Linked DNA regions of Xenopus tropicalis. The protein of the gene in region 1 binds, or shares a complex with, the protein of each later gene. Links are inferred from orthologs where the notes say so. Each region holds a gene or a part of one and is shown in the gene's direction. Other genes may lie near its edges.

What was found.
Region 2: lsm5 (region 1) and lsm6 share a complex: the UniProt entries of both Homo sapiens proteins name them as parts of the precatalytic spliceosome. The link is inferred for Xenopus tropicalis from reciprocal best matches to the Homo sapiens genes LSM5 and LSM6.

The regions. Positions count from the first base shown.
Region 1 is NC_030682.2:61,889,353-61,900,844, reverse strand, and holds the start of lsm5 (U6 snRNA-associated Sm-like protein LSm5), read left to right. Parts: upstream 1-4,520; 5' UTR 4,521-4,637; coding exon 4,638-4,683; intron 4,684-6,610; coding exon 6,611-6,706; intron 6,707-8,687; coding exon 8,688-8,715; intron 8,716-11,492. Other genes in the region: late secretory pathway protein AVL9 homolog, read right to left, coding at 892-999. UniProt on the Homo sapiens protein: Plays a role in pre-mRNA splicing as component of the U4/U6-U5 tri-snRNP complex that is involved in spliceosome assembly, and as component of the precatalytic spliceosome (spliceosome B complex).
Region 2 is NC_030677.2:58,331,846-58,343,518, reverse strand, and holds the start of lsm6 (U6 snRNA-associated Sm-like protein LSm6), read left to right. Parts: upstream 1-6,094; 5' UTR 6,095-6,181; exon of another isoform or gene 6,182-6,358; intron 6,359-7,765; exon of another isoform or gene 7,766-7,952; intron 7,953-8,546; 5' UTR 8,547-8,561; coding exon 8,562-8,655; intron 8,656-9,264; coding exon 9,265-9,378; intron 9,379-11,495; coding exon 11,496-11,530; 3' UTR 11,531-11,673. UniProt on the Homo sapiens protein: Plays a role in pre-mRNA splicing as component of the U4/U6-U5 tri-snRNP complex that is involved in spliceosome assembly, and as component of the precatalytic spliceosome (spliceosome B complex).

The DNA.
Region 1 (11,492 bases):
TTAATAACTCACATCTAAGATTACAGCAAAGTGTAAAAGAGAGCCTCTTTTAAGAAACTTAGTTAAAACACAGTCACCTAAATTTAGCAAACCGCCTGTACCAGGGTAAGGGTGGCATGTTACCAAGTAAATTTAAAAAAAAAAAAAAGCATAACCCCAAATAAATAACAGTACAACATGCAAAGTAAATGTTAGAAAACCAGGAGTATGTGATCTGTCTTATACACTACATGAGATTATGGAGTCATGGATATTTTTGACTAATAAGTTAGGGGAGCACTGCTAGAAAGGCTGCAGGCATACTTTTTGCTCACAGTATTTTCACATACTAACACCTAGGGGCAGATTTATGCGAGTTTAAAAAATGTGAGTTTAGAGCTTAAAATACATAAAAACTCACCCACATTCTATTCATTCCTATGGGATTTTTAGAAGCATATTTATTAATGGGTGAAAGTTAGAGTTCAACATTTGATAAACATGCTTCTAAAAATCCCATAGGAATGAATAGAACATGGGGGAGTTACATGTACTTAGCTATAAACTTAATAAATCTGCCCCCTATAGTGATAATGCTTCTTGCTCGGGAGTCACCTATTATCTGTACCTATTATCTGTACCTATTATCTGTACCTATTATCTGTACCTATTATCTGTACTAGAATGAAAGCAGCTGTTAAACTACGATTAGTAGACTACAAACCAGTATAGGTAGTAAATATAAAAGAGCTACTGCTGTTAAGGATGTGAAATACACAGGTGTTTCAACTGTTTTGCAATTCAGACATGCACCACGAAAGCTATTAAAAAGTGACAAATAATACATTCTAGTGTCAATCCTGTGAGAGGGTTAAAGTGTTATATACAGAAAGAAGCCATTGCATTCCTCACCTGGCAGCCCTTCTTGTGGTGGAAGCCCACCACCACTATGTGCAGTACAGGTCCCCCTGGCACCCTGTTGCCGCCCCCAGCAGCCTCCTCCGCAGCCTGGGCATCCATGCGTGGGGTTAGTGCCGGAGATGTCAGGAAACGCTCTGCTGTGCCCCCCGCTTGCTTGCCGTTCCTGCGGAGGCTGTGAGGATTGTCAGCACAGAACTCCCCTGGAACAAGTCGCGGACATACTATAATCCGGGTCCAGACAGCAAAGGAATACCGCAGCGGGGGTATGCAACGCCTGGGGATAGCCTCTCAGTTTAAAAGTCAACTCCCCTAGCGCTTTCTTCCCAGCATTCACTCTTATCTGGTTCCCTTATCTTTTCCGCGTCCAGCCTCTCCCTTTGTTGCTGATTTCCCTGCCAGGATCTCCTCCTTCTCCTAAGGCAGATGCTCACTCCCTTCCCCACTCTCTTTTGCTTCCTACCCAGTGTCTCAGGCTCCTCTCTGCAGTCAGATGTCACTGTCAGCCCCGGCGTGACATCACCGCCATGGCTACCTAGCCTAACCCACTCGAACAACAAGCGTGACTCGTCATCGCCAAGTAGTGTGCTGATTGGCTGTTGTGTAGGATTGGAAAGCAGAGCTATGGCAGATTGAGGTCATGGTTTAGCTCCAGAAGATGCCTGGAACTGGAAGAGCTGGATCCGTGCGGCTATGCACTATAAGGAACCAATCAACACGATATTATATTTTTAACAGTACTGTTAAACCGCGTTTGGGCAAAGTAGCATTTTGGCTAGAAAAAGCTGCTCAGTAAAGGTCCAGTAAAGTTACAACATATATTAAATCCTATAATTTTTTATTTGCAGTGTATAAGCTGGGTTAAAGGAGAAGGAAAGTCATTTTGGCATGTTACTGCCAATAGATTTTCCCAATTAGTGCCACCTATAATGCTATATTTATTCTACAGAAAACCTAGAAGCTGTCTCTGTTTGTTTAAGATTGCAGCTGCCATTTTAGCTTGGTCTTTATAGCTTCCTGCTTGCAATTTAGCCTATAGCTTAGATCAGGGTTCCCCAACCGCCGGGCCGCGGACGGCATGGCAGTGGGCCGCAGCGCACCCCCCCAGCACATCGCATGTATTACGCGCCTGAAGTTCGCGCCATGGCCCGCCCCCTCTGCAAAAATATTTTTGCCTCCTACCGGGCCATGGTACTAAAAAGTTTGGGGACCCCTGGCTTAGATTACACATTCCTAAGGGAGGGAGGAGGAACTTTTTGGCATTCTTATGGGAGGGGGGAGCAGAAGAGGGGACAGATGAGAGAACTGCACAGACTCTGGCCCCAGGAATGAAGGATTGTTCTGAGAGAGAAAGTCAGATACCCTAAGAACACATTTACAAAAAAGAGACAAAACCCTGTGTTCTTTTGATAGACCAGACTAAAATGGCAGCTTCTATCATAAACAATGGGAGGGAGCTTCCAGGGCTGTTTACTCAGGTATGGTAAAGTTTTCTGCAGAATAAATATAGTGTTCTAGCTTGCACTAATGTGGCTAATCTATTGGCAGTAAAATGCCAAAATGACTTTCCTTCTCCTTTAAGGAACAACCACTGTTCCAGCCTATTTAAAAACCTGCACACTTTAGAGCATTTTCCACACCCACTACAGTCACCAAACCAAAAGTAGTGTTTAGTTAAAACAAGACTTAGACAATTATTCAGGAATATACAAGACAAGGTGGTAAGTCTCTAACTAATATAACCTGTTTTCTTGTAAATTTTTTTTTTACATAATAGATCTGTTGTGTGTCCCTTAAGTAATTCAAGATATTCAGAACCAAATGTTGTATATACAAATTTAAAAAGGACTGTATACACCCTTTATCATCATTAGTTCAAACACACCTCAGAGAACTCTAAAGGTGGCCATACATGTAAAGATCTGCTCGCCTGGTGAGGTCGCCAAGTGAGCGGATCTTCTCCTGATATCCCACCTACGGGTGGGCGATATCAGGGGAATTATAACGACTGGAATAGGTGCAGTCGGTTCGGGGACAATTTCTAGGACAGATATCGGTCGTGCAGGCCAGTCGTTGTTAACCCTACACGGGCTGATAAGTTGCCGTATCGGTCCAAGGGACTGATATCTGTAGCTACAATCGGCCCGTGTATGGCCACCTTAAGAGCTAAATCCTACCAGTGCTTTTTATCAGATTTTGTGGGTCATATTTTATCTGATCTTGTCATGCAACGCCACACAATGCAATGCAACAGCACAAGATTTTTTAGGACCCTACAAAATCTAATCTGCATAGGCTGTAATTTTAATGTCAGATCAGATAAAGTTGGATTTTTATTTTGTTCATGCACTTACATCTGACAGTCAATGTATTACATTGAGAGAAAAAGAAGTCTTTCCAACACCATCAGTTTTTATCCTTGTGGCTGCAGGAGCAGCATGCAGCATTCCCTTCCGACAGACGTGGTGTTGGATGGCAAAAGTTACTACCTCACGTTTTTGTATCAGTCATTATATTTTGACCCACGTGATTACCAATCCACAGGTAAGCCCTTGACATAATTATTTGCTCTTTATCTCAAAGCTTAAAAAAGGCAGCAGTTGAGAAAAACTAAATGAAGGCTTAGGTAAACAGAAGGTTTCTAAGTGATCTTAGCAGGAAGTTGGGAACTGGTTCTGGAAATTTCAGAATGTTAGGTTTCAAAACATTGAGTTTTAGTAAGCAAATGACACACTGTCACTCTACATGCAGAAATCTTGAAATTAGGTAGAAGTTTTAATGACAGTTACAAAAACTAAACTTTTTTGTAGCAGCAGAGACTTTGAATGAATCATGCTGAATTTTTAAAGTTTAAATACAAGTAGTTAAAAAAAAGGTGACTAATATCAATCATCTATGGCCCTCAACACTATGCTCATGTAATGTGCAGGAACCAAGCAAACTGTGCAGTTGTTCAACACCTTGGAGGGCAGGCAAGCAGCATAATGCCTCTAAAGTACAGTATCAAGGGGTGGCTTACAAATTCTTGTCCTCTAAGATAAAACAATATTTATGAGTTTTGTAATTGAACACTACCCTACAAAAAATTAAAACAGAAATATATAATTTTCTGGATAAAGTATATCCCCTATAAATGCTAATGTTTAGGTACAGAAGTGACTGCAATCCTTTCCCCTTTTAGTTAAACAAAACACAGGCCAGAGGTACTTTCATGCCTCCTAAGAGCTGATTCAAGCTGAGCACCTGCTACATACAAAAACATCTGAAAAAGTTCTATACTTCGAATGTACTCGTCTAAGTTGGCACCTGGGCCCCCGTAATTTGTTCTGTATTGATCGGGGCTCCTATTAATTTACCTAAACGTGAGTGGTTGAAGTGGATGGTTAATATGCTGTACAGAGTCCAGAGCTGCTGGTTATTCTACATCTGACAAAATACCCGGCCAATTAGCAATCGCAATGAAGCCAAGCCGATTTTTTGAACATTCATTATTCTGGCGCAACAACAACTTTTGCAATCATTGCTTTGAAACATTCTTCTAGCCACGCCCACGTCCCCTGTTCGCTCTCTTCCGCCATATAAGGCCTTTTTCTGCTCGTCTGTTGATTAATCTTCCCTAACCAGGAAGTTTTTAGCGCTTGCGCTCGACTGCATAATGAGATCGGCAATCGATTGCTCTAGGTAGGTGACAGCGGGAGATTACGAAAACAGGAGGAAATCCGAAGTAAGGAATATCAAAGATGGCGGCTACCGTGACTCCCAATCCGTCGCAGCTTCTCCCGCTCGGTAAGGACTCTAGGAAATATGTGACTAGATCTATTCCAGTTCGAGACCTTTAGTGTGCAGTTACTAATTGGCTTTTATCTTCAATGGCGCTGTCCTATTTCATGCGACATGCTTTCTTTGAACTCATATTTGTTGTAGAATTCTGATATGTATGTGGCTTACTAGGGTTGTGAAGTACAGATGTAGTGTACCTGGAGTTAGCACTGTTGCTTGGGTTAAACAGCACCTGCTAGGTGACGTGCTTTAGGTTATCGGGCAAATGATGGAGCCGCATGGCAGCCCTGCGTTAGACAATTTATATTTTATACTGAACCTTTTAATTGTAAGCAGATAAAAAAAGAACAGAATTATTTTCTAGTTGATTTTTAGTTTACCTAGGAAAACTGTACATCATTCTTTTCTTGAGAACCTGAGCTCTAAATCTGAGTTTTTGTGTATTTCCACTTCTGGAACAAGATTTAGAGCTCTAAAGGCAAATAAAAGAAAAAAAAAAAAATATGATTATAGGGATTTATACCAGAAAAATCTTTTATTTTATGGATAAAATTTCAACTTATTCAGAAAGCCTAATATCTCTTGAATGTGCCTATACTAGGTATGTATAATTTTATGGAGATGTCTGACTTCTATAGATCGAAAACTCCCAGCAGTAAGTTATTGAAAAAAGTGTTACAGCAGAATAGGGCATACTTTAGATTCCATAGCCAAAAATCCTGAAACATTAGGTTTACCCCAGGATACCATTTATATTTTTTAAAAGTGCACATTCAACCAAATCCGAAATAGATAACCGTGTCTTTCTACTCTAAATGACTCCAAGGGGCTGATTTACTAATCCACGAACGGTCCGAAAGTGTCCGAATGCGTTTTTTTCGTAATGGTCTGTATTTTGCGATTTTTTTCGTAAATTGTCGCGACTTTTTCGTAGCCGTTACGACTGTTTCGCAAATTGTTGTGACTTTTTCGTTGCGTTACGACTTGCGCGAATTGTCACAACTTTTTCGTAGCCTTCGCGCCGAGTACGAAAGTTTCGGATTCATTCAAGCTTCAGTATCGTGACTTTTCTTGGGCCAGGTTGGAGCTGCAGAGTCCTATGGGAGGCTTCCAAAATCATGCTAAGTCTGAAAGTTTTGCCCGCAGTTTACGAGCGCTCAATACGAAAAAGTCGCGACAAGATACGAGCAAATCGTAACGGCTACGAAAAAGTCATGACAATTTGCGCAAGTCGTAACGGCTACGAAAAAGTTGCGACAATTTACGAAAAAGTCGTAACGGCGACGAAAAAATCGCAAAAAATACGAAAAAGTTGCAAAATGTTCGTTTTCCAATCGGAATTTTTCCCATTTGGATTCGTGGGTTAGTAAATCAGCCCCCAAGTGTCCGAGATGAAATAGAAATGTTCATCTCTGATACTGGCTGCTGCAATAGAAGCACCCGGTATGTGTATTATGTACCATAAGACGTCCTAACAATACGGAGCCCCTCGAAAACCGTATATTTTCCGAAAGTACATATTTTTATTAAGGCAAAAATGGCTAAATACATCTTTCTACTGCAAACTACCAAACAAAACTATGCTTTTTTTCTTTTTTTTTTTTTTTATTCCTGAAGGTTTAAATCAGTGGTTTTCAGACTTAGGTTTAGTCGCCCTCTTTCCTTTCAGTTATGCAGCTTAAGATCCAAGTACATTCAAATACATTTTTATACTAAAATGTGCTTTTAGTCTGAAGTTCAAAAAATATTTGACAGGCGATAAGTATTTACCACCACAATTTAGAAACCTTTGATTGTTCAAGTTTTACTTTCAAACCTAATTAATATATACACAATGTAAAATTATTTTTTGTATTTTAACATGTATTTTTACTTTATTTTTGCCTTATTTTAAAGTGTATTCTTAATTTTTTTTTTATTTCTGATCTTGCAGAGCTTGTGGACAAGTGCATAGGATCTCGCATTCATATTGTTATGAAGAGTGATAAAGAAATTGTTGGAACACTTCTTGGCTTTGATGATTTTGTCAGTATCCTTTGTCTGCTTACGCTTAGTTTTTTGTTTATTGCTTCAGTTATACTAATTTAGAATGTACCAAAATAAAATACCGATTTACCATCAGCAATAGACTCCATTCAGCATTCTAGATCAGCGTTTTTCAACCACTGTTTGTGCCGCGAGATGTTGCCTGGTGTGCCGTAGGCAGGGCCGCAATTTTTACTTTAAAAAAAAAATCCGGGCCCTGTCATTGGTTGCGCCCCGTGTGTACGGGTGACGTCAGTACGCACGGGGCGCAACGTTATAAAAGGGCCTGTGTGCGGTCGCGTGTAGGCAGAAGTGCAGAGGCGGCGCGCGTGAGGGGAAGATGCTGCTGAAGCCGCCGAAGAGTAAAATGCTGCTGGGCACCAATGTATTAGGGGGGGCCACGGGGCACACTGACTTATGGGGGCACTGCTGCTGGGCACCAATGTACTAGGGGGGCACTGCTGCTGGGCACCAATGTACTAGGGGGGCACTGCTGCTGGGCACCAATGTACTAGGGGGGCACTGCTGCTGGGCACCAATGTACTAGGGGGGCACTGCTGCTGGGCACCAATGTACTAGGGGGGCACTGCTGCTGGGCACCAATGTACTAGGGGGGCACTGCTGCTGGGCACCAATGTACTAGGGGGGCACTGCTGCTGGGCACCAATGTACTAGGGGGGCACTGCTGCTGGGCACCAATGTACTAGGGGGGCACTGCTCTTGGCACCAATGTACTAGGGGGGCACTGCTGCTGGGCACCAATGTACTAGGGGGGCACTGCTCTTGGCACCAATGTACTAGGGGGGCACTGCTGCTGGGCACCAGTGTACTAGGGGGGCACTGCTCTTGGCACCAGTGTACTAGGGGGGCACTGCTGCTGGGCACCAATGTACTAGGGGGGCACTGCTCTTGGCACCAATGTACTAGGGGGGCACTGCTCTTGGCACCAATGTTCTAGGGGGGCACTGCTCTTGGCACCAATGTACTAGGGGGGCACTGCTGCTGGGCACCAGTGTACTAGGGGGGCACTGCTCTTGGCACCAATGTACTAGGGGGGCACTGCTCTTGGCACCAATGTACTAGGGGGGCACTGCTGCTGGGCACCAGTGTACTAGGGGGGCACTGCTCTTGGCACCAATGTACTAGGGGGGCACTGCTCTTGGCACCAATGTACTAGGGGGGCACTGCTCTTGGCACCAATGTACTAGGGGGGCACTGCTGCTGGGCACCAGTGTACTAGGGGGGCACTGCTCTTGGCACCAGTGTACTAGGGGGGCACTGCTGCTGGGCACCAATGTACTAGGGGGGCACTGCTCTTGGCACCAATGTACTAGGGGGGCACTGCTCTTGGCACCAATGTACTAGGGGGGCACTGCTGCTGGGCACCAGTGTACTAGGGGGGCACTGCTCTTGGCACCAATGTACTAGGGGGGCACTGCTCTTGGCACCAATGTACTAGGGGGGCACTGCTCTTGGCACCAATGTACTAGGGGGGCACTGCTGCTGGGCACAGAGTTAAATTTTTTAACATTTTCTAATGGTGGTGTGCCTCGTGATTTTTTTCATGAAACAAGTGTGCCTTTGCCCAAAAAAGGTTGAAAAACACTGTTCTAGATGTTATAGTACAACATTCTTTAGTTTTCTACTATCGGCTCAACTGGGAGTTGAAGTTTTGCATTGTCAAAAGCACATACTTATGTATCAGCAGAATGGGATTAAACACTGGCTGGGACTGTGTCTTGCTCTCAGTTCCTCTGTGATTTGTGCTTTTTGCCATCTGTGCATGGGCAAATTGACCTGAGGGCCAAAGCTGGAAAGTGTACAATCAACAGCTAAGTTAGCCAGAGTACTTTATAGGCTTACTGGGGATCTTTGTCATAGATTTTAATGGCATAAAATAGCATTCTTCCGCATCTGTGCTTCTTCATAGTTTTTCCTCAAACCACATAGAACCTCATACTTTTAACCTTGATTCATTTCTTCAGACATGGTGCTAGAAGATGTTACAGAATTGTAAGTACCGTTCCGTCTGGATACAGATTTTTTTTATTCTATTTGCACTTGCTCAAGAACTTCTTTACCAAGATACAGTAATTTTTATACCAAGCAGTGCATTGTTTCATTCTTGAGATCTGTCGAATAAAAATAATATTCATTTTATTTGCATTTTACATACAGGTATGGGGCCTTTTATCCAGAATGCTCGGGACCTGGGGTTTTCTGGATAAGGGGTCTTTCGTAATTTAGATCCCCTTAACTTAAGTCTACTAAAAATCATTGAAATATTTAATAAACCCAATAGGATTGTTTTGCCTCCAATAAGGATTAATTATATCTTAGTTGGGATCAAGTACAAGGTACTGTTTTATAATAACAGAGAAGAAAGTAATCATTTTTAAAAATTAGAACGGGTTTCCTCTAAATATGGAAGTACATTTTCTAAAATATGAATCTGCATATAATAACTTGACACTAACTTTGACTAAATAAGACAAACAGTAAAGAATGATCAAATTGTGACCCCACTACTGATTTCTATCATATTGTCACTAATCTGTAAACCTGTATCACTGTATATAGTCTAGCAATTTGAGAATTGTATAAAGTAGAAGCAATGTACCCTGTGATATTAACAAGAGAAAATTCTTGAAAGATATGTAACAGAATATTTTTTTCTGTTTAAAATCAATAAAAATCATTTATATATAAAAAAAAAAAAAAATTAGAAAGGGTTTCCAGATAAGGGATCCCATACCTGTATTGTGTTTGGTGATAACAAAAGTGCTTTACTTGGTAATTAAAAACTGGTTGATATTTTTACTTTTTTAAGAAGTTACCATGTAGAACGTTTTATATAGATGTTTTTTAACGTAAATTTTTTTGCTTTTCATTTAAATTCCTGCATTGTGCTGGTTTACATGTCCATGTCTGTCGTTTTTATGTAACTGAAGTAAGTCTGGAGGCATATGTTCTCAAAGACATACTACAATTCCAGATATCGAAAGGGCTTTATTTCTAATTATTTATCATAACTGATGTATATGCATATCTGTACACCTGTTTTTGCAGCGAATAACTTTAAAGTTAAAACAACCAGATTAGAACTGAAATTCCCCTTTAAATAGACAATAAAAAAAAGATGCTGCTTCAGTCAAAATATTCATAGTAGATGCATCAACCTTTAGTGGATATCAATTGTGGTTTTCTGTTACTGTGCATGTACAGTGGTGTGAAAAACTATTTGCCTCCTTCCTGATTTCTTATTCTTCTGCATGTTTGTCACACTTAAATGTTTCTGCTCATCAAAAACCGTTAACTATTAGTCAAAGATAACATAATTGAACACAAAATGCAGTTTTTAAATGAAGGTTTACGTTATTAAGGGAGAAAAAAAGCTCCAAATCTACATGGCCCTGTGTGAAAAAGTGATTGCCCCAAGAGCGCAGAGACAACTCATCCGAGAGGCCACAAAAGACCCCAGGACAACATCTAAAGAACTGCAGGCCTCACTTGCCTCAATTAAGGTCAGTGTTCACGACTCCACCATAAGAAAGAGACTGGGCAAAAACGGCCTGCATGGCAGATTTCCAAGGCGCAAACCACTTTTAAGCAAAAAGAACATTAAGGCTCGTCTCAATTTTGCTAAAAAAACATCTCAATGATTGCCAAGACTTTTGGGAAAATACCTTGTGGACCGACGAGACAAAAGTTGAACTTTTTGGAAGGTGCGTGTCCTGTTACATCTGGCGTAAAAGTAACACAGCATTTCAGAAAAAGAACATCATACCAACAGTAAAATATGGGGGTGGTAGTGTGATGGTCTGGGGTTGTTTTGCTGCTTCAGGACCTGGAAGGCTTGCTGTGATAGATGGAACCATGAATTCTACTGTCTACCAAAAAATCCTGTAGGAGAATGTCCGGCCATCTGTTCTTCAACTCAAGCTGAAGCGATCTTGGGTGCTGCAGCAGGACAATGACCCAAAACACACCAGCAAATCCACCTCTGAATGGCTGAAGAAAAACAAAATGAAGACTTTGGAGTGGCCTAGTCAAAGTCCTGACCTGAATCCTATTGAGATGTTGTGGCATGACCTTAAAAAGGCGGTTCATGCTAGAAAACCCTCAAATAAAGCTGAATTACAACAATTCTGCAAAGATGAGTGGGCCAAAATTCCTCCAGAGCGCTGTAAAAGACTCGTTGCAAGTTATCACAAACGCTTGATTGCAGTTATTGCTGCTAAGGGTGGCCCAACCAGTTATTAGGTTCAGGGGGCAATTACTTTTTCACACAGGGCCATGTAGGTTTGTTTTTTTTTTTCTCCCTAAATAATAAAAACCCTCATATAAAAACTGCATTTTGTGTTTACTTGTGTTGTCTTTGACTAATAGTTAAATGTGTTTGATGATCAGAAACATTTTGTGTGACAAACATGCAAAAGAATAAGAAATCAGGAAGGGGGCAAATAGTTTTTCACACCACTGTATAACTGGTCAGCAGAGGAAAAAAAGAGCATATCAGTTGTTACTAATCTTTACAAATGGAATTATGCAAAGTAGAGTGCTGTAAAGAAAGATTAACTTTTCCCTCAGTCTTTATAGTCTAAGTAAAATAATACTAATGTAAAACTTATTTCATAAAACACATAATAATATCAGTCCAAAGTTGCCTATATACTGGAAGATTCACGCTGACATGATTTTGCAACTGACCTCATTTATATTCGACAGATACCCAATCAACAAGGAAGCTGTTGTAGGCCAATATATGGGTGAATAAGGGACTACGTCTA
Region 2 (11,673 bases), on another chromosome or scaffold:
TAATTGTTATCTTACTATAAAGATGATGCCTCTGTCTTGATCATAGTAATACACTCCAGTAGGAAGTCTTTAGAAGGGACAGTGTTTAAAACTGCAAAGGAAAGCAGAATAGTTTAACAGGCTAATTGTCAAGAACGCAACATAAATTATGTAAAACATAACATCTTAATAGAAATTTAAAAGGGTCCATCAAAAGTAAAGTGTCTTTAGAATTAACTTATCGAAAATAAATCTGAGGAGTTATCACACAGAGCCATTAAAGTCACTGAAAGTGCCTGTACTCAAATGTGATTCACGCTTGTAGCTTCTAAGAAAAGACTATAAATATTACTTTGGATTTTAAAGTTAATCATAAAGTTTTATTTACCTGTTCATTGAGGGGTCTGAATGCCATTAAGGCAAGAGCATGAAAGAGAGAGCAATTGTCCCTTACTTTTACAATATTTAGAAGAAATTTGACAAAGGCCGTGTGTGTGAGCTTTAATGCCGGAGGAAAAGATATAAGCAGAGAGATTGTGAGAGTTAGGAAGAGCTATGAACTCTATCATTCCAGTTTATGACCTTTCATTTAAAGGCAACTGCAATTGTCTGGCAACTCAAGGCTGGCGCACAGCAGATGTGGGGAATCTGAAGTGCCTGAGACATAAACTTTTATTACTAAATTATAAATAATTTCTATTACTTATAACATTCACCTTGCAAGTTCATCTTGATTATAACACAAGGGCAGCTTCATACTGACACCACTGATCTATAAAGATGAAAAAGGATTATTGTACCCCAATGCACACGAAATTCTTAAATAATGTAAGGGGCATTAAAGTTAAAAAAAAAATGTCTGTTATATTTATCACATGATTTGAGAAAGGCTTCTGTCTGTTAGATGGATTTTATGGACAGGATAGATGCATTCTGTTCTCTTTGTTTTTATGTGTCTATGAAGTAACTAAAAACTTGATTTGGGGGGGCCATAAATCTGCTTCCTTGTTGTATTAACTATTTCATACTGAACTGGGGTTGTTCAACCACTAGCACTGCTTCCAACAGAGAGACTTGCACTAGCAACAATGGATCACACCAACAGGGATAAAATGGGATTCTGTTCTTATGTCACAAAAAGAAATAATATGAGTGGCCTGAAATTCAAAGGCAAAGGCCACAGTTTCATATTTGCAGTTTTTCAGTTGCAATCAGGGTCGGACTGGGCCGCCGGGACACCGGGAATAATCCCAGTGGGCCCAGGCAGCCCAGACCCGAACCCTTGCCGGTACTCCGCCTCCTGACCGCTCCTCCTCCGACGCGTCAACTTTACGCGCTTGGAGGAGGACGTCGGGTGGGGGGTTAGGGGGTCCCTGCGAGGGGGGTTAGGAGGGACCCTTCGGGGGGGGTTAGGGGACGCGCCTGGCTGGGGGCACCTGCAGGGTCCCTGGGACAGGAGCCCCGGTGGGCCCTTCACCCCACAGTCCGACCCTGGTTGCAATTGATTATTTTCCCATTTTGACACTCATTGCTTTTTATCACAGTTGCCCAGAGAAGTTGCTGTCATTGCAGCGTCACTTGAGCTTCCCTAACAGGTACCCTTCTCTCAAGGATATCTATTTGGGGACAGTAACTACTCCTCAGGATGAAAAATGCCTTCTTATAATTAATTTTACAGGGGTTAGACCCCTATTTGGTTAGATTAGATTGTATAGCTCGTCATTTCATTTGTTACTCCTTTATTTCTGCACTACAAATCTTAGTTTGAATCCAATAACAAATTATAAAAAAAAGAAAAATATGTTAAAATGAAAAATCTACTAAGTATTTTTTTATTATATTATAAAGGATTTAACCAGCGGCTTAACTACAATACAGCAGACCCAGGTGTGGGAGGCTCTGCCTGCAGGGCCTGTAATCCCACAAACCAATGCAATAGTTTGCTGCATGTCGAAAGTAAAGGAGCAGCAGGTGGTGGTGCAGTGTTTGCGTGGCTATGCCCCAGGCTGCCCTGAATATTTTTGGAGGGGGGTAGTTATGCCACTGGATGCAAGTTCCCCTTTTTGTGTGGGACATAGCCTAGAGAGTGTACCCAAAGCTTTGTGGGATGAATATGTTTGTAATGGATAAGGGGTGTAATGGCTATTCTCTAGTCTATAAAAGGGAAGGGATACCATAGTCCTTTCTCTATGAAGAAAGCATGTGCTGCTGGAGACAGGGGGTCTCAGTAAGAACCCTGGACCCAAAGGTAGGCCAGACAACAAATAGTTGATTAAAGGGACTCCATGAATAAGGACTTGTAGTTAATGAGCAGACCTATATAGTTTATTATATTAATTACAATATTTTACTGTTCTTAAGTTATTTGTACACTGGGTCCGACTGGCCCACCGGCAAAAATGCTTGTGGGCCCTGACCCTGTTGGGCCCTGCCACCAGCCCACAAGCCAGCCGCAGGACTGTCAATGGCTGGGGATGGAGAGGGAAGTGGCAGTGGCTGGATGGTGGGCTCTTGAGTCAGGTAACATAGGTACCCATGTTCAACTCTGTTTGCACAGATATACCCCATTCATGTGACACTTCATTTCATGATGATAGTAAATTGGAATTTGGATGCAAATTACTGACAGCGGGTGACTGGGCTCCTACTGAAGGTGAGGGGGGTTAAAATGGACCTGTCACCATAAAAAATAACTCCAATTTCTTTTCTATTGTGTTTGTCAAGCACAATAAACTTCACTTACACTATATAAATACTAGAATAATGTTTCCTTCAGTTTTGGAATTCACAGAAAACAGGTAGGTGCCATTTTGTGGAAGGCAAGTTTTGTATAATACCATAATCTTGTTTATGTGCCAGATCTGATACCCATGCCCATGCACTGGCTGCACAATTAGATGGTAAGAAGGGTGGGGGATTTGAGGAGTGCAGTTACATCTAGAAAATGCTGAATGTAAAGTGAATGTAACTGTCTGCCCTGCCTCTATACCTAGGGCATAGAGGCACAGCTGGCAATATATTATTGACATCTGGGATTTTTAAATGCCTTTATAATGGGTATGTGTGTGTTAATAAAAAAAAAGAATTTGGGTTTCATGTTTAATTTAAAAAGAACTTTTATTATACAGCTTTTTATGCCTGAGTGACAGGTTCCCTTTAAAATATGGCCATACTTGCAAAATGAGTTGACATATCTATGAGGTAAGGCACAATCTCATATGTTTCTATAATGTGTATCCTTGGGAGCACAATATTGAAGTTGCTCATCATTAGACCAGCTTGCATGTATAGTATCCCAAGGCAAGTTCCATGTATAACACTATACCACCTAACAAATAGTTGAATACAAACAGTGACAATTTCACATACAATTCCTTCCTGAACACCTTGCAAGAGGAATGTTGTACCAGTTATATATACAGATGAAACCACTTTGGTTTGTGTGTTTAACACAGAATAACTACACTTGTTTAACTTAGCCCATTTAACACAGAAAATTGCATCACAGCAACTTATCTAATTAAGGAGTTTTTTCTTAGGCCTCATGTGAACAATGGTGGTATTGTATGCTCTTGAAAAGGTTAAATGCATTAAATCAGTTAACATGAGTTAAGATAACATACTTTCTTTAGTTTCTCTCAAGTCATGACCAGGGCCGCTCCTACCATGAGGCATGGTGAGAACCTTGCCCCAGATGGCAGGGTGCGGCCAGTTACCAGGGGCAGAAAAAGATAAAATTCATTTTTTAATGCTGAGAGTGCAATAGTGCTCTCTGCAGTAGTGATGAGGCCCCCTTTGGACCCGCTCTGATGCTAAAGTCATAAGCACGGAGCGGGTGCTGCCTCAGGCGGTAGCAGTAGTGATGTGTGGGCTGGCTGGATACTCGCGGGTTGGGCAGGTTGGGTACATCACATGCGGGTTCTGGTTGAGTGCTTCGGCTCGCTCCATAACCTGCCGGCCTGTGTCTTCTGGCTTCTTAATTTATAGCACCCGCCCCACCCTTTGGTGATGTCATTGCGGGGCAGGCACAGGTCTTTATCAGGATGGGGTCAGAAAAAATGTTCTCGACCTGCACATCACTAGGCAGCAGCCCCAGAATTGTCGCTGGTCATGACGCATTAAACATATGAATACAAGTTCCTTCATTGGTATATACTCCACAACACAAAACAAATATGGTGCTTATTTTATATGAAATGAAGTTAAGCGGAGATTTAAGTGCATATTTTTTACAGCGGGTGACTGGGCTATTTCTGCTGGTAACCAGTTTAAATCAGGGTGATTTCCCAAAAATGCAGGTGAGTTGACATGTTTGCATGGGTGTCAAGCACTCCGGACTCAAAAGGATCTGCTAAAACTCGAACTTTATTCCATCATGTTTAAAAGCTTTTAAACATGATGGAATAAAGTTCGAGTTTTAGCAGATCCTTTTGAGTCCGGAGTGCTTGACGTCCTATTTCTAGATTTGGAGATATCTCCCTTCAGCTGCGGGTTCGGGGCTTTGAGCACCCGGACCATTATGGGACTTTGGTGAGCATTTTGATTCCTCTGTTTCTGAATCACCTGAGATGAACATTTGAATATTTGAACCTTAAGCGATTGACTCGGGGTTTGAACACCCGAGTCAAATTGATTACTTGGTATTTACCTTACTTTCATATTTCTAAATACAAGTTGGTGAGCAGATTATTTATTTAGCTGCCAAGTTCGCTTATTCTTTGCTTATTTGGCTAGCTATTAAATTAATTAATTCATTTATTTGCATATCATATTAGTTATTTTCATTTTTGTACATTTTAATTCCTTCCGAGGAATCTTAAACAGTTACGCTCACAGAGCGTCTCCTCATCCCCTATGTTTGCATGGGTGGGTTCATGGCAGTTGCAGGGCAGATTCAAGTTCTGGATGTGAAAGCTAGTTACCCAGCAATTACCAAATGAATGAAAACAAAAAAAAAAAAATATTGTATAATTGTTTATAGTTATAAGCAGAGAAGACCTAAACAGCAATAAAGACAGGTATAAAGTGACAATTTAGAGGAGTGAGTGAGCTTCCCCCACACCATGCTTATAAACAATTTGCAGGATTTCCAATTTGGTGTCAGTCACTGGCCTCTTGGTGACTGCACATATATTTCTTAAGGTGCCCACACACCTTCAGATCCGCTCGCTTGGTGATGTCGCCAAGCGAGCAGATCTTCTCCCAATATCCCCCACCTACGTGTGGGCGATATGGGGAGAATCCAGGCTAATTCCCTGGGGCCAAACGATCGCATTATAAAGACGGGTATAGGTGAAGTCGTTCCAGGGACCGCATCAACGAGCTGATACGGTCCCCGATCCAACTAGATTTTTTAACCTGCCCGATCGATATCTGGCCCAATTTCAGGCCAGATATTGGTCGGGCAGGCCCATCGGTAGTGCCCATACACGGGCTGATTAGCTGCTAGAATTGGCCCGTGTACAGGGACCATTAGGTGCCATGACATTCACCACTTTAATAAGGATATTTGCAAATACATGGTGTACAGCAGGTAATGAATCAGTAAAGATTTCAGATGAATAATACCAGGCTCCAATTGAATAATGTCATGCCACACACAGCTTATCAGTATTAGTAATCATTTTTGATGCTAGTGACATTTTGTGTGGCTGATTAAAGTAAACTGACCCTTCAATCAGAAAGGATTATATGGGAAGTTTCAGAAAATCAAAGTAGCTTACCATAAGTAAAGTGCATGTGCCTGTATAAAATAGATACAAAAATAAATATATGTAAAATAAAAATACGTATACATTTGCGTCAACTCAAAGAAATGTATTACGTTTAGCAAGTAAGAGTAATGCTGAATCAGAACACGTTTTTAAAGTTGGAGGCGAGGTTTCTTTACTAGAATGACTTATAATGGCATGGTGCAGGGATTCAAAGCCATGAAACATACAGGATATCCCAGCCATTACTACATACAAGAGGTGCAGAGGAGCCACAGCGCCGCCTCTCGCCCTGATTGGACGCATCATTTCCCGTGTTAACGTCATCGTCCCCTTTTGACCCCCGGTAGGCGGTGCCTCATTCAGGAACCCGATTTACTTCCGTACGGCGCACACGGCTTTCGCTTGTTTTTGGATTGTCCTGAGACGGACACCGTAAAAAGGGGTAGGAAGGAGAGAGGCGGGAGAAAAGGCATCGCACGGGATACAGGGTGAGAATTACAGGGTGGCTTATGGCCGCCTGTAGTATTTGCATTGATGCACACCATCTAGTATGGTTAGTGCTCATTACGTTCAGAGAAAAGTAGGTAACAACAATAATTAACCTAAATGTGTGGCTCCCGCGGTGTCTATGCGAAGCGAATTCTGGGAGTTGTAGTTCATCCCAGGTGTGTGGCCGCTGCATTACATTGGGATTGTATTATGTATTGTTCAGCTATAATGTTTCGAAGTAGATTTGCTACAGGCACCCTTTTCTTGATACATATTTGTATTGCTCCCGGCAGGTGGGTATTGTAATTCCTGAGCAATATACTGATTACCAGCAGGCTGTACTAGAGGGGCTCAGTGCCAAGTACATGAGAGCTCCTCTCACAGGGGCTGTATAGATCTCCCTGCTACATCAGAGGGATGGAGCTTCTTACTTATAGATTTAGAATCATTTGTAAGTTTAAGCCCAGCTACAGTGTGTCAGTGTTGGGCTCTAGCCCTAATGTATGTAAGCCCTAATATATCTATGTTATCAGTGAGCTTTTCCACTTAATATTTTATTCTGGCAGTAACCAACATGCTTGAGGCTGTCACTGACAGATTTCCTCTGCTCTAATTGGCTGATACCAGCATGAGTCACATTTGTATCAGACTGCTGACAGACACCATGGTGGATATGTTTGTACAGGTATGGGATCCTTTATCCGGAGACCCATTATCCAGAAAGCTCCGAATTACGGAAAGCCCCTCTCCCATAGACTCCATTTTAATCAAATAATTCAGATTTTTTAAATTGATTCCCTTTTTCTCTGTAATAATAAAACAGTACCTTGTATTTGATCCCAACTAAGATATAATTAATCCTTATTGGATACAAAACAATCCTATTGGGTTTAATTAATGTTTTATTGTTTTTTTAAGTAGACTTAAGGTATGAAGATCCACGTTACAGAAAGACCCCTTATCCGGAATACCCTTGGTCGCTAGCATTCTGGATAACTGGTCCTATACCTGTAGTAGGAAACGTTTAGGCTGAGGAAGCACAGTATTTCTTAGAAATGATAAGAGACACTGAATAAAAACCTTTGATAAATACAATAATATATCAGGGAATTTGAGGACTGTGGAGTCGGTACATAAATCCTCGGAACAGTAACACAAAAAATGAAAGCATATAAAAGTAATTAAAATATAATGTACTAGTGCCCTACACTGGTAAACATTGTGTGTTTCCTTCAGAAACCCGAATATAGTTTATATAAACAAAGCTGCTGTGTAACCATGGGGGTAGCTGTACAAATTGAAAATAAGAAGAAAAGACACAGGTTACATAGCAGATAACAGATAAATTGTGTAGATTACCATTGTACCATTCTAAAGCGTGCATCTGTTATGTAACCTGTGCCTTTTCTCCTTTTTTCTAGCTTGAATGGCTGCCCCCATGGCTACACAACAGCTTATTTATATAAACTATATAGTCTTACTGAAGCAAACATGAAACTTTTACCAACACAGAAATACCCAATCTTAACCCGCCTGCTCCCAACCCTACCCGACCCAGCTTCTTCCCTTTATTTATAGACCTACTCCCGACCCTCCCCGCAATGACATCACGAAGGGGTGGGGCATGTCGGGCGCGCACCTATAAATTCCCAAGCTGGAATCGGAATATCAGCATTGTTAGGTCTCGGTCATGGAGGCTGACCGGAAGCACTCAACCCGAAGCCCACCCGCGACCCGCAGGTGATGTGCCAAGGTCGGCCTGACCTGCAGGTATTGGGCCAGCCCGCACATCAATAGTGCCCACTCCTTATTCTGCTGTAGACACTGAGGAATACAGAGCCTCCAGTTAGCTGTGATTTAACCCTGTTTTAACTGCTTTGTCTTCTGATTTTTTAGAACACATCTCTTATAGTGCTTTCCTGGCTTTCCTTTTAAAGGCTAGTTAAGACGAAGATATTTCTAACCAACTGCAGGCGAATGGATTGTCATTGCTGTTGGTTAAATTTGGTGGAATAGTTTAATAGAAAACTAAAGTTTAACATTTCTAGCCTGCTTCTTTTAGAGTTTAGTGTTTGTAGAGTTTATATTCTTTAAAATAGGACTTATACTCCACAATGTTTGCTGTGAATTCTGGACCAAAGCGGCAGTCTATTTGTATACCATATCATAGTGCAGATTTGCCAGTTCTAATGCACTAATCTGTGCTGTTAAATCATCAAACTGACAATAATGACCAACTGCAACTGATATAAAAATGCTGGTCTGAAAATGTGAATAATATATAATATCTGTAAAGCACTGAGGAATATGTTGGCACTATATAACAATAAGAGAATTATTTTGTCTTGAAACCTTTCTTTACAGTGAAAGGGAATTAGAATGAGCCTGCGCAAACAAACACCGAGTGACTTCTTAAAGCAGATTATTGGAAGACCAGTGGTTGTAAAGCTCAACTCTGGAGTCGATTATCGAGGTAAAGCTTAAAGTAAAAGGCAACCTGAATTCCTTTTATATCTATCTTTTATCAACATTTGGAATGAGGATTATGAAAAATGTATTTTTACAAATTCATTCTGGCTCTGTTTCATGTCCATGTTATAATACGTATTTTCCCTCACTTCAAAGTTTGCACATTCCAAAGCAATACATTTTCCCACAGATGCTGCTTAAATTTAAATATGCAAATCAGGGTTACGTTTGGGTCGTATTCTTCCTAAATGGGCGCAAGAACTTAATTATCATTGGCCTCTTTATTTAGTATTAATAGGTAGAGCTCTTTTGCCAGCCATGTGCAACAAATTTATACCCAGAACTGCTGCCCTTTTACTTTTCCAGGTGCCAGTTAACTTGCTTTTTGTTTGGTAACATTGCCAAATGCATTAACCATACATGTGTTCATTGGGGCCTTTAGTTACCCTTTAAAAAGGCTATTGTTATAGGCTAATTATCTAAGAAAAGCAAATCAAGGAAAATATCCAGAGGTCTTTGCAACAGTTATGTGCTTTTCCATCTATATTTACTACTGATATCTATCTGATTATATTGTTTTTTGTATTTTTCTTTTTATCTACACCACATATAGGTGTTCTGGCATGTTTAGATGGTTACATGAATATTGCTTTGGAACAAACAGAAGAGTATGTGAATGGACAGCTGAAGAACAAGTATGGGGATGCATTTATCCGAGGAAATAATGGTAATAATGGTGGTTCAAAAGAATTTGAGTCCTGCTTTTTAAATATATAAAAAAATGTTTTAAATGTAATTGCTCAGTAAAAAGTGTGATGTGGAACATTGCTATTGAACCCTGAAAGAAACTCTGTAACTGGCCAGGCATTTCTTCAGTGTAATAAAACTGCTGTACACGCAGTAGCACCCAGTAAACCTGTTATTCCTTAGTTGCACCTTTTAATTTAAAGACTTGTATTCCCTTTGATAGCTGTAAAATCAACCAGAATAACCTTCAATTTTGTTTGTGACCCTCAAATCCCAAGGACAAATACTTGTTATTGGGCTGTTAAGTAACCGTTCCTACTTTTTTATATTTAAAAAGATTGCTGGATATTTATTATACACATATGAAGCCTGCATCTCACAGATTTGCATTTTGTGTCCAGTACTCCCTAATGCTTTCTTAGATGCGATCTCTGGGAAAGCAGCATAAGAATAGTACAGTAAAAATACTGGCTTGTTGTGTGTTTGGTTTAGTAAGGTCTAATATAAACACATAAAATGGAACACCTTTTCACTTATTTAATAGTTTTATGACCTAAAAAGGTTATAGCTTTAAGTCAAACAATTCTTTGCTTTTATACTCTATAGAGTTTACAGTTTGGAGTTTAATTCTAACTTTAATATGTACTTGGGTATTTTTTTGCTGAAACCTGGCCTGCTGTGTCTCATTGGCTGTAAGGCAAACTTGCTGGTAGCACAGGTTCTGGCAGTTCTTGATTTGAAAATGCTGTATTGTCTGTATTGTATTGCATTTTTTGTGATTATTTATTTCAGGTGGACCCTGGTAGTCAATCAGAAACAGCAGTTGTAGCTTAAGGTGCTACTTCACTAGCTAAAAAAAAACCCTGGCAGATGAACACCTTAAGGGTGAAGACACACAAAGCTACTTAGTAGCAGCTACTTGTCATGGCTACTTAACGCCAAAATATACCCTGCCATAGACAATACTGAGAATTTCCTTTGCTAAAACATACGTAGAGACAATTATCTGTAAATGATCAGTATTGTCTATTTTTGTAACTGCTACTAGTAGCTCAGTGTGTCTTCACCCTTAATCATAGAGGAACAGATTACATTTTCACTCATCCATCCCTTTTCTGCAGATCAGGAAGCTACTGCTGGCTTCCTGTTGAAATCCAGTGCTTTGTTAACCTGAAAGATAATGACTAGAACTCTATACACTGCATAGTATTGATACTTTGTCAGCCAGTGTTTGTAGTGTATGGAAAATACATTTTCAATATAAGATGTATCTATCTGAAATAACAAAACTTTCTAAATATAATCATGTAAAAATTGTCATGTTTGTGAAATAACCAAGTTACTCTTCACTCCCCCACTCATCACCTGCCTTTCTTTATTCTCTCTTCATGCAGTAGGTGGAGTCAGGTTTTGATTGACAGGTCTAATATGTTCTTTGGGGTGGTTGCACCCTTTCCTTAGAAGAGGTATTCAAGCTGACTCTTCCAAAAGTAACACACGTCTGCTAGTAAAGAGGCCCCCCCCCCCCCCCCAAAAAAAAAGGTGTTAGACCTAACTGCCTTCTCTGACTTCTGCATAAAGAAAAGAGGTTGCTGAGAGGGGCAGAGTGAAAAGTAACATGATTATTTCCGAATTTTAATTTACGTTAAGAAAGTTATCCTATTAATGATATAAAGGGTGTTTTCTCATCATGGGTATACATGGGCCCCAAGATGGCTTCCCTCACCAGGAACTCTGGTTCGGGCATCATAGCACTTACAAGTGGATATTTCTTGTGCAATACTGTTTTTTCCTCTAACTGGAATGCAGACTGTATTAGACATCTACGAATAAAATTTGTATTATAGACATAGTTTAAAAACATTCTATACCACACAAAATACATACCTTTATATAAATGTCCCACCTACAGTTGAATCCTTAAGTTGACATACACCTATGGTAAAGATGACTTTGCTAGTATTTAGTTAAAACATCTTTAGCATAGGTGTATTTAACCTTTAGGTCTTAACTGTATTTGTGGCTGAATTGATAGAATTGCAGAAAAACAAGACATGGAAGTGATTGTTTATGTGAATTTTTTTTTTCTCTTTGCAGTTTTGTATATTAGCACTCAGAAGAGGAGGATGTGACCTGTGTTTTTTTTAATTTACTTTTCATTTTTAATTATATTATGTTCTTTGCATTAAGAGCGCAGCATTTTGGACTTCAGAAGATCAAGGTCTATACATTTATGTTTGAGACTTAAGATGAAGTTGCATTGCTAAATACATTT